Linked DNA regions of Rattus norvegicus. The protein of the gene in region 1 purifies or fractionates together with the protein of each later gene. This does not show direct contact. Links are inferred from orthologs where the notes say so. Each region holds a gene or a part of one and is shown in the gene's direction. Other genes may lie near its edges. The genes, in order: Pomp, Psma6 and Psmg1.

Region 1 (3,648 bases):
ATAAGATGGGGGGCTGTTGAGGAAAAACTAGTGTTGACTCTGCCCCGTGTCTGCAGGAATACCTGTACATGAACACATGTAAACCACATGTACACATTGCCACACACAGATGTAGAGATACAGTGTTATAAACCTGTCAGGAAGAAATGAACACTTTAAATCCCAGAGGGATGTCAACTCTTGGCCTCAGGATTGTCAGTGTTGCGTTTTTAAAACAACGTTGCTCTGCAGCAAGCTTTTAGCTTAGAGCTACTCTGTCTTCTGCAGTTCCAGCTCAACCAGGACAAGATGAACTTTTCCACCCTGAGGAACATCCAGGGCCTGTTTGCTCCCCTGAAGTTACAGATGGAGTTCAAGGCTGTGCAGCAGGTGAGTCTGTCCCTGTCCCACGCGTGCTCATGTTCTCGTGCTAGATGTCAGACCTTACCCTCTGAGCACCCTGTCCTGCCTCCCTCTGTAGCACATGACCCTTGTTACTGCTTCATAAGGGAAAAGTTGTCACGTGGAAAATGGCTTCACGTCATAGATACAGTGTCTGAGCACAGTGCAGCTGTCTGCCTGCGCTTCTCTGCCCTCTGCGGGCAGCCGTGCGGGCACAGCTGGGCGTGCCTGTTGCTAAGGAGTAGCTGTGCAGATGTCCCGCCTGGGTTCTGGGCCCCATTGCGTCACCCTACCTCAGGGAACAGGTCCTTGCCAGCAGCCCTGCCTGTTGCAGACACCTTTTTCTTCTCTCCTTGCTTTGGCTCTTTAGAAGCTGTTACCTACATTCAGATCCTGTGGTAAAATTGTATCAATCCCTAATTAATTAATAATTACTTTTGAGATAGGTTTTCTCTCACCTCGTAACTCTAACTGGCCTGGAACATGCTTTGTAGAACATGCTGGCCTTGAACTCCCAGAGACCTGCCTGCCCATGCCCACTATGTGCAGGGGTTAAAGGGGTGTGCCAGCACGCCTCGCCCCCACTTCTCTCCTCACTTGTCAGCTTGTCCAGGTTCACCTGCTGGAAGCCATTGTTCCCCGTGTCTGTACTTTACTTTCTCCTCTGAGATGGTGTCGTCTGGTTCCCAGGGCGTGTGCGCATGTGTGCACGTGTGCACGTGTGCTTTTGTAGGGGGTCGGGGGATTGACACTCAAAGCTCCTTCCTTTTCTCTGTATTTTTGTAGACCTCAGACTGGTGTCCCCTTCCTCTCTGAAACCCATTTGTAGCTCTGTGGTTCCTTCTGTCTGTCACCTGAGATGCTGGTGGTGCCAGAGGCCATCTTTGTTCTCCCTCCTGTTTCCTGCCTGTCCTTCGTGGTTACTCAGTGCTGTTGACTTTCTCTAACTCTCCGGACCTGCTTTTCTGGTTGGAAGGCCCACAGGCATCTTGGGTTTCCCGGGCTGTGCAGAATAACTCATTATTCTTCCTTGTGGGTAAATAGGTTTCACCTAAGGCAGATGATGGAATGTTAGCTCTGGTTGCCTCACTTGGTGCCTTGTGGCCCCCACCCCTGGTCCTTACCAGATCTCCCTGCTCCTCCACCCCCACCATGACTGTAAACACCTCGATGTGTCACACTCCTCACTTTGCCCTCCAGGTAAAACCCAGGCACCTAATGCCTTGGCACCTGGCCTCCCTCTTTGGACTTCGTGTATTTGTTTCCTGCTACCACGGACCCTTTCTCTGCCTGGCTGGACTTGAGTCTTGCAGCAGGGCTGTGAGTGCCGTTGTTTTTGTAGGTTTGTAGTTCTGGAAGCTACTTGAAGTACTTCTTTGCGAGAATACTGCTCTAAAATGGCTTTAAGTGAGAATGGCCGAGTCTGAGTGTTTTAGACTAATCTAAATTTCAGTCTAAACTAGTCTAGCAACTTGAGAGTAGCAGTCTGAGCACATTTGTTGTTGCTTATGGTTTATTTAGTCTTATTGTGTGTGGGTGTGTGTGTGTCTGTGCACTGTGTGTAGAGTGATCACAGGGACCAGATCTCCTAGGAACTGACTCACAGGCGGTTCTTAGCCTCTATAGGTGGTGGGAAGCTAGCCTGTTTTCCCTGGAAGAGCAGCTGGTTCGTAACTGCGAGCCACCCTCAATTCCTAGCCGGTGTGAAGTGGAAGAACAGTGTAGGTTGTCAGGCTTGGCACAGCTCTTCGCCTCCCTCGTCTCCTGTCTTTGCCTGGGTTTGAGCTGGATATCGCTAGTAAAATTGACAGCCTGAGTTTTTAATACCATTTTGTCAAAAATCTTTGCTAATGTATATTCCTTGCCTTCCTGATCCCCATCATTGTGTTTTGCAAGCCCCACCTTTGATTCTGCTTCCCGGATCCTTTGCACTCTCCTCCACTTAGAGGTTCCCGTTTCTATTTCTGCTTCTTCCTCTTCTCTCTTCTCCATGTTTCCTTTTTCAGTTTTGAATGACAGCTGGAGAATTCTTTCCACACTGTAAAGACTAAGTAGCGTTTATAGGCTATTGGCAACTGAGAATAGTACCCTCACTCTGAGTAGTGAGGGTCGGTCCCCCTGTCACTGCCTCTGCAGACACTGACCACAGGATTAGTTTCGGTCACGGCGTCACTCACTGCTCATCACCTAGTACTCTGGGTAAAGTATAAAGGCGATGGGTATGACCATGTTCAAGCGGCAGTGGCTGCCCTGACTGTGCGCGGTCTTTCAGGCGGGTAACCTGCAGAGAGCTGTATCAGTGGTTGTCAGACAGTGAATCCACATGGCTTCTGTCTGTACAGCCCATCCCGTCCCCACTCGCCCCCTCATGACTTGGTCAGTAATCGTCAGACTATGAATCCAGATGTTTCTGTCTCACAGCCTGTCCCCCTCCCCCATGGCTTGGTCAGTGATTGTCATGGACTGTGAATCCAGATGTTTCTGTCTGCACAGCCTGTCCCCCTCCCCCATGGCTTGGTCAGTGATCATCATGGACTGTGAATCCAGATGTTTCTGTCTGCACAGCTTGTGAACCTTTCCCCGTGCTTCATTTGGTTTCCAGTCCATACCTGCCTGTTGCTGGAGTGACACTGTGACTTTAGAGTCCCCCTGAGTGGGTTTGGTCTGCATTTCTGGTTAGCACTGTATCTTCAAAGGTTACCTTTTAGCTTTGTGCTGAGCAGCTCAGAGGAGCACACAGTCCCCTTGGCAGGTGAGAGTGACTCTCACTCGCCTGGATCCTCCTGGGGCCTGGTCTCTCTGCTCTGGAGCGAGGTGGGCTCCGGGCGTGCTCTCTTCCCCAACAGAAAGACTCAGTGGGCATGCGGGTTATATGGTGGCAGTGGGCATGCGGGTTATATGGTAGCAGTGGGCATGTGGGTTATATGGTGGCAGTGGGCATGTGGGTTATATGGTGGCAGTGGGCATGCGGGTTATATGGTGGCAGTGGGCATGCGGGTTATATGGTGGCAGTGGGCATGCGGGTTATATGGTGGCAGTGGGCATGCGGGTTATATGGTGGCAGTGGGCATGCGGGTTATATGGTGGCAGTGGGCATGCGGGTTATATGGTGGCAGTGGGCATGCGGGTTATATGGTGGCAGTGGGCATGTGGGTTATATGGTGGCAGTGGGCATGCGGGTTATATGGTGGCAGTGGGCATGCGGGTTATATGGTGGCAGTGGGCATGCGGGTTATATGGTGGCAGTGGGCATGCGGGTTATATGGT
Region 2 (3,648 bases), on another chromosome or scaffold:
TTCTCTCTCCTTAAAGTGTGTTATTTAGGAGGCTAGAGAGATGGTTCAGGAATTAATATCCCTTGCTACTACAAAGGACCCAGGTTCAGTCCCAACACCCACATAGCAGCACATAATCCCCTTGTCTATGATCTCTACTGGCTTCTGGGGCACTTGGCACACATGGTACACATAAAATTAAAGTAAATCTTTTAAAAATAGTGTTTCTCGTGAAACTTTTTTAAAAAGTATATTCTTTGAGTCATTAGACATTTTTTTCCTCTCTCTCAAAACAGAGTTTCTCTGTGTAGCTCTGTCTATCCTGAACTCTCATGGTAGACCAGGCTGGCCTTGAACTCAGATCCACCTGCCTCTGCCTCCTAAGTGCTAGGATTAAAGGCAGGCATGTGCTACTAGCTCCTGGCCATTATTAGACTTTTTTATTATTACATTTATTTGTGCACATAATGTGTCGTGAAAGCATGTGTAGACATCAGAGGGCAGCTTATGGGAGTTGTTTTTCTCCTACCACATTGGGTCCTGGGGATCAAACCCAAAGCCATCAGGTTTGCTGGCAAGCCCCTTTATCTGCTGAGCCATCCAGACAGCTCAGGCACTGGATTCTTGTAGAAACTATTTTGACTGCTGGTGAAAGGCTTGGTATAAAAGAGCAGTATGGTATAAAAATTAGCTAAAGGTTTTAATTTCTTTCTGTTGTTACATGTACTCCAAGCCAAGTCACTCAGTGTTCGTTATCACAAGAAAAAGCCACAGAGAACCCCTTGTCCTACTATAACGTGTCTTTGGCATAAACATAGATATCTGTGGTGGAGAAATAGGCTTTTAGATTCATTCTATTTCTAAAGTGGTAACTCTTTGGGGTTATGCTTATCCTTCAAGCTGACAGCAGATCCCAGGTACAGAGGGCACGCTATGAAGCAGCTAACTGGAAATACAAATATGGCTATGAGATTCCTGTGGACATGCTGTGTAAAAGAATTGCTGATATTTCTCAAGTCTACACACAGAATGCTGAAATGAGGCCACTTGGTTGTTGTAAGTATGCTCAGAAATCTTCTAAGGAACTGTCTAAGGAGTTGTAATTGTCTTTAGAGAACATGTATAAAGAAACTGAGGCCACATGAGTTCTGAACATGAAGTTTGAAATTACAGCTTTTGAGTTCTATTCATTTTTTAATCAAAATATTTCTATTTAGGCTATGTGATTTGAAAGTTCTATTTTATTAGGCTGTTGTAATGGGGTTCTGGTGTAATTTCAGGCATTTTAACAGTGTCAATGCCACTTTTGATCACTGAGTAAAGATATGGTTTGTCTCCTCCCCCTCCGCCCCTTCTCCCCCTTACTCCCTCTCCCCCTTCCCCACTCTCCCCTTCCCCTCTTCCCCTCTCCCCCTCTCCAGTTTCTCTGTGTAGCCCTGGTTGTCCTGGAACTTGACTGTATTTCTGTGTGTGGTATCGAGTCCCTAGAACTAGAGTTGAGATGGTTGATTGTTGGGACTCGAACCCTGATCCTCTCTAGAAGAACAGCCAGTGTCCTTTAACTGCTGAGCCATCTCTCCAGTCCCTGATTTCATACCCATCCCCCCTTACTCTTACTGAGTAGTTCAAGCTTTTCTCAAATTTGTGATCCTCCTGCCTCAGTCTCCCAAGCACTAGCTTACAGGTATGCTGGCTCCTAATGTTCTCTTCTGCTCAGTTCCTTTTGTCCTGCTCCTCCATTGGTCCCTTAAATGTTGTCACTTACAAGCTTTGTTCTTGAACCTTGTCTTCCTCTTTGCTGTCTGATTAATCTCACCCCCTTGAGGGCTTCACTTACTACCTATATGCTGGTCATTTACCTGGTTTCTTAACCATCCCTCCCATCTCTCAGGACCTTTGAGTCATTCCTGTTCTACACGCATCCTCAGCTTCTCCTTTATAGTCTCAGTCTACTCTCCCTGGTCATGTAATTAAGGATCGGCAGAGGGTTGCTTCAGAGTATCTATTCCTGTCTCCTGTTGTTTTCTCATTGCCTTGTTGCCTTTATTTCCTATCTGGTTTATTTATTTGTTCTGTCCCTTCTCTCTCTAAATCTGTCCTCTGTATTCAGGAATTATTCTAAAAATGAATTTTGATTGTTACAGCAAAGAAAGAGGGATCTGAGGAGATTGGGGGTGGCATGGGCTTTGGTCTCTTTGAATAAACTTCTTACAAGTTCAGTGAAAGCTGAACCTGTGTAAAATAACGGCAATTGATGGATCCTTTCTCAAAACAGAAATGTGCCTGCTATCTAATCTGTCACTGGTAATAAAGCACATTTTAACGGTTTTGGGAAAACAAATAAACCTAAAATTAGTGACCAAATAATGAGTAACAGCAACTATATGAAACACCAAAAAGGGAAATTTTTGTAGACAGCATAATATATTTAACTGGCCCTTCCTTTTTAGGTATGATTTTAATTGGTATAGATGAAGAGCAAGGCCCTCAAGTGTACAAGTGTGATCCTGCAGGCTACTACTGTGGCTTTAAAGCCACCGCAGCAGGAGTGAAGCAGACAGAGTCAACCAGCTTCCTCGAAAAAAAAGTGAAGAAGAAATTTGATTGGACATTTGAACAGACAGTGGAAGTAAGTCAGCCGGAAGGCGTGGACCTTCTCTCCCTGCTCTGGGAGAGTGAGCATCATTGTGTTATTGATAGGCTACGAAAGCTGTTTCCTAACACTGTCACAGATCCAGGTGTGCTAGTTTGATGGTAGAATTGATATCATTCAGCTCACATGGGGGGAAGGGGGACTGCTTTATTCATTTTAATCTCTACCTTCACACTTCATGGGAAACTTCAAAAACACAAAATAGGGAAATAAGACTAGACTCAAAGACTGGTGTGGTTATATGATTAGTAGACTCAAATTGGGTTAAACTTTTTGGATAACAAGTATAACCACTAAGATTTGGTAATATTGTTTTGTTAACATTTATTCTTTAAAAAAATATTTATTTGTGTGTGTGTGTGTGTGTGTGTGTGTGTGTGTGTGTGTGTGTGTGTGTGTGCGCGCGCGTGCGTGTGTGCGCATCTGCCACGACACTCATAGGAGTGAGGACCAGTTTGCAGGAGACAGTTCTTTTCTACCATAGGACTTCTAGATTGGACCCAGTTAGCTTTGGCAGGAAGCACCTTTGCCCAGTGAGCTGTCTTGCTGATCCAGTAATAATTATTTTCATAGTCCTAAATAAAAGCAGCTACAAACCAAGTTCTTGGAGAGCAAAGTGTTTCTTAGTAAAAGAATATGTGAGCAGAGGGCTGAAAGAGCTCAGGTAAGTGCTTATCTCGTAAGCTCAAGGATCTCAAGGATCTCGGGTCAGACCTCAGAACCTTCATTGCAAACAAACAAAACCTACTTACCATGACACATGCTGAGATCGTAGCACTGCTGGCCAGCCCAGCCACGCTTAGTTCAGGCCAGTGAGAAACCCTGCTCCTAAGGCTGTCCTTGACATTGACACCCGCATACAAGTCTTTTTTATACGGATATGGTGGTGTACATATGTAATCCCAGCACGCAAGAGACGGAGGCAGAAGGATCATTGTAAGCCTGAGGCCAGCCTGGTCTATGTAGTGAGTCCAGAATAGTCAGGGCTGTAAAGCAAGGCCTTTCTCAAACAGACC
Region 3 (3,656 bases), on another chromosome or scaffold:
AGGTTTATTTTTAAAAAGTATTTATGTTAAAATTGATATGCTCCCCCCAATAGACTTTATCGTTTTTCTACATCGTGAGAGATTTTAAACAACTTCCCAAGAGTTTTGATTTTAAAACGTCCCCGATCCCGAAATATTTACTTACTTTAGTTATATTTTACTAAACAGACCCTATTTAGGCAAGGCAGACCCTATTTCCTCGCAAGTAAATCTAGAATGTGTTTTTATTTCCCACTGAGGTCCCAGTTTCCTTTTTCCTCGTAGTCGTTTGCTCTTGTGAGAGCAGTATTCGGTAGAGTTTTTTTGTCTTCCAGCACACAAGCCAGAAAAACACATTCTTTCTGTCATTAAAATAGAAAACTGGGTTGGGGATTTAGCTCAGTGGTAGAGCGCTTGCCTAGGAAGCGCAAGGGCCCTGGGTTCGGTCCCCAGCTCCGAAAAAAAGAACCAAAAAAGAAAACAGTGTATATGAGTTACACATGGCCAGGTTTTTAAAAAGCCTAGCCTTGCAGCTTCACTCATGTCCTCTGGATCCGCTTGCAGTCATCACCCCTGGAGCTGTCTGTGCTTCACTCGCAGCTCTGGGTTTCCTCCACGGGTGGGTCCTTGCAGGCGGGCGGCGGGATGTGGAGCGGGCCCTGCGTGCCCGGGTCAGCAGGGTGACGGAAGCGCGCCGCGGAACAGATCCCGCGGCGGACCGGAAGTTCTGAGACCTTCACCCAGGCTGAGGGCGTGGCCTGGCTCAGGCGGGTCGGGGGCGTGGTCTGAAGGGCGTGGCTGGGGCCGGCGCGCAGGCGCCGTCTGGCCGCGCGGGGCTGAGGTGCCATGGCTGCTACGTTCTTTGGTGAGGTGGTGAAGGGGCCATGCCGAGCTGGGACTGAGGAGGAGGAAGAGGAGGAGGAGCAGAGCAGGCGGGACACGCCGGAGGACCGGGAGGTCCGGCGGAAGCTTGCGCGGAAGAGGTCAGGCTCCGGGAAGGCCTCCCCACCGGCGGGGCGAGCATCAGGCGGTGTTGGCCTGCCGAGTGCCCTGCGTTCACGCTGGGACGCTGACAACCCAGCAATGCTTGCCCTCCCTCCACCCTACGCTTTAGGTTACGCCGCGTGTCCGCCGTATTTCTTGCAAAACTACTGTTAAATACACAGAAATGAGGTTATGCCGGCCCCTTGGCCAAGGTTTTACCACATCCATTTTTTCTCACACCACCCCTACTAGTTTCCAGTTAGGAAACTCTTCCTAAGCATGCTGTCTTTATGCGTATTCATTTATTTTGTTTGTTTGTTGCTGGACCAGAGGTTGGAGTTGGGTGCCCGGTGGCGTTTACCACCTTTTTGAGAAATCTTAAATTGAACCCAGACCTCACTGTTTCTGCTTCACTGGCTGACCTCCAGACCATAAGAGATTATCCTGTTTTCCCAGAACCTTCACTCTCGACATTTAGGTGGGTTCTGGGATCAGAACTTGGGTCGTCATGGTTGTGGTGGCAACTTAGCACCTTCCCTGCCCCAGATATGCTAATAAGTTTTCAGTGTCATACCAGTTCACAATCAAATTCACCTAGATTTTTAAAATATACTTTCTGGTGATTTCTGTCAACTACAGACACTTTTGGCACTCTGTTTCATTTACAACAACCCCCTCACCACCTACCCACCCCCCCTCATTTTTGGTTCTTGCACTTGCCTCTCACCTGGTTTTCTCTGGTGTTAGCTGGTGTTGCTATCTCTGACTGTGGCATGATCCTCCTATAAGCCTCTGTGTCAACACCCCTGGGTGACCAGCTCTCTCCTGTCAGGATTTGGGTACTGAAAGCTGTGCTACAGGGTTAGCTCTGGGTCCCCTCTCCCTTTTCAAACTCTTCCCGAGAGCCTCGACTTGTCCGATGGTCAGGCTTCACTTGCTTTTGTCACAACTAAATGCTTCAACGTTTGTTTGGACACTTGGCCACGTTAAGCATTTTGCTGGCAGGAGTGTTTGAGATGCTTGTATGAAGTTTGTTAGTAGTTTTACTCATTGAGTCTGTGAGTAGTCATTGCCTGAGCCTACAGTATTTCCATTCGCCAGGCCACCCAGGACACCGTTTCTTTTATCTAATACCATCTATCAATCCAGCTATCCACTCATCTCTCTTCTGTCACCTACCTATTTACCCATCTGTGTATATACGTTGTGTATATTGCACCTGCCTACCATATCTATATAAGTCGCATGTCTGTCCACCATCGATCTCATCTGTCTTCCATCTATGTGTGCATCCAGTTCTATATAGCATCTGTCACTTTTCTCTTAATCTGTCTGTCTGTCATTCTATTACCATCTCTTCCAGTGTGACGGTCGTTACAGTGAGTGACATTTGTTTACTTTTGTCTCTTGCTGTCAGGGAGGTGAAGCTTCTCCGAAGACAGACAGAAACATGTCTGGAGGCTGTGCTCCTAGAGAAGCACCCTTGCTCCAAGTTCATCCTTGCAGTAGGAAGTAACGCCACGGGTAAGCGCCAGTGTCAGGGGTAGACGTCCTGTTGGAAGAATGTTTCTTCCTACATCTCGTATGTATTTTAAAAGGATCCCAGCAGGCCCTGGGCGTGTGGCTCAGGTGGCACAGTGCTTGCCTATGAAGCACAGGACCTTGGGTTCGAATCCCAATACTGTATGAACTGGGCGCTGTGCAACCCTAGCCCTCAGCAGGCGGGAGATGGCAGATGGGAGCACGGAGAAGTTCCAAGACCGAGCCGGGCTCCACAAGGCCCTGTCTTAAACAGCCACAGTCATTTCAAGTAAGGTAGATTGCCTGTTTTTCCATCTTTGTAATGAGATTTAAAGGAAATACGCTTAGCTTCAGAATTACAGTTCTAGGCCCCGTTTTCCAGCCTGCTGTGTCCACACGTCTAGCAGTAATCGTAAGCATCTGGAACACTTCAGTTCTAAGGTCTTTGAATGCATTTATTGACCTGGTAGGTTGAAAGTGGAATAATGTGAGTTTGCTTGGAACAGTGTTGTATGTCAGTACACGTGGAGACCTTTGTAACTTCAGTGGGTTAACAGGCTCTGAGGAAATCATTTGGGAACTCTAGTTAAGAGCTCTTGCTCTGTAAGTGAGCCCTAGGACTTTAGAGATTGTGTAAGTAACAGTAGGCTCACCCGTTATATAAAGGTCTGCTTGCCTAATTGTTTTAGAGGAGTGTTCCATTGTGAGACTAGTACAAACTCTGCAGACATTGTCGCCTGCCTTTCCAGTCCCTGTTTGTAGTTTTGTGTGGAGAGTGTAGACTTTCACTCCTCAGCCTCAAATTTTGTTTGCTCCAAAGTGGTCCAGTTGGATGGTCTATAATATTTTAAAAAGAAATTTATGGCAGGTATGGTGGTGTACTCCTTTAATCCATACTGTACTTAGGAGGCAGGATGGGTGGACTTCATGAGTTCAAGGCTAGCCTGGTCTACAGATGGAGTTCTAGGACAGCCAAGCCTACATAGAGAAACCTTGTTTTGAAAAACAAAACACCCAACAACAAAATTTAATTATGAGCATATTTTTGTGTGTGGGCTTACTCAAGAGCATAAGCCAGAGGAGGGCACCAGATCCCCAGAGTTAGAATTACAGACGGTTGTGAGTCACCAGGGCTGGATGCTGGGAACCAAACTGAGGCACAGCAAGAGAAG

What was found.
Region 2: the proteins of Pomp (region 1) and Psma6 purify together in Homo sapiens (affinity purification with western blotting; 4 studies listed by BioGRID and IntAct, with this or other methods). This does not show direct contact. The link is inferred for Rattus norvegicus from reciprocal best matches to the Homo sapiens genes POMP and PSMA6.
Region 3: the proteins of Pomp (region 1) and Psmg1 purify together in Homo sapiens (affinity purification with mass spectrometry; 4 studies listed by BioGRID and IntAct, with this or other methods). This does not show direct contact. The link is inferred for Rattus norvegicus from reciprocal best matches to the Homo sapiens genes POMP and PSMG1.

Annotation. Positions count from the first base shown.
Region 1 is NC_086030.1:12,200,806-12,204,453, reverse strand, and holds part of Pomp (proteasome maturation protein), read left to right. Parts: intron 1-267; coding exon 268-369; intron 370-3,648. UniProt on the Homo sapiens protein: Molecular chaperone essential for the assembly of standard proteasomes and immunoproteasomes. Degraded after completion of proteasome maturation. Mediates the association of 20S preproteasome with the endoplasmic reticulum.
Region 2 is NC_086024.1:78,524,202-78,527,849, forward strand, and holds part of Psma6 (proteasome subunit alpha type-6), read left to right. Parts: intron 1-879; coding exon 880-1,035; intron 1,036-2,429; coding exon 2,430-2,608; intron 2,609-3,648. UniProt on the Homo sapiens protein: Component of the 20S core proteasome complex involved in the proteolytic degradation of most intracellular proteins. This complex plays numerous essential roles within the cell by associating with different regulatory particles.
Region 3 is NC_086029.1:48,752,184-48,755,839, reverse strand, and holds the start of Psmg1 (proteasome assembly chaperone 1), read left to right. Parts: upstream 1-799; 5' UTR 800-825; coding exon 826-962; intron 963-2,380; coding exon 2,381-2,487; intron 2,488-3,656. UniProt on the Homo sapiens protein: Chaperone protein which promotes assembly of the 20S proteasome as part of a heterodimer with PSMG2.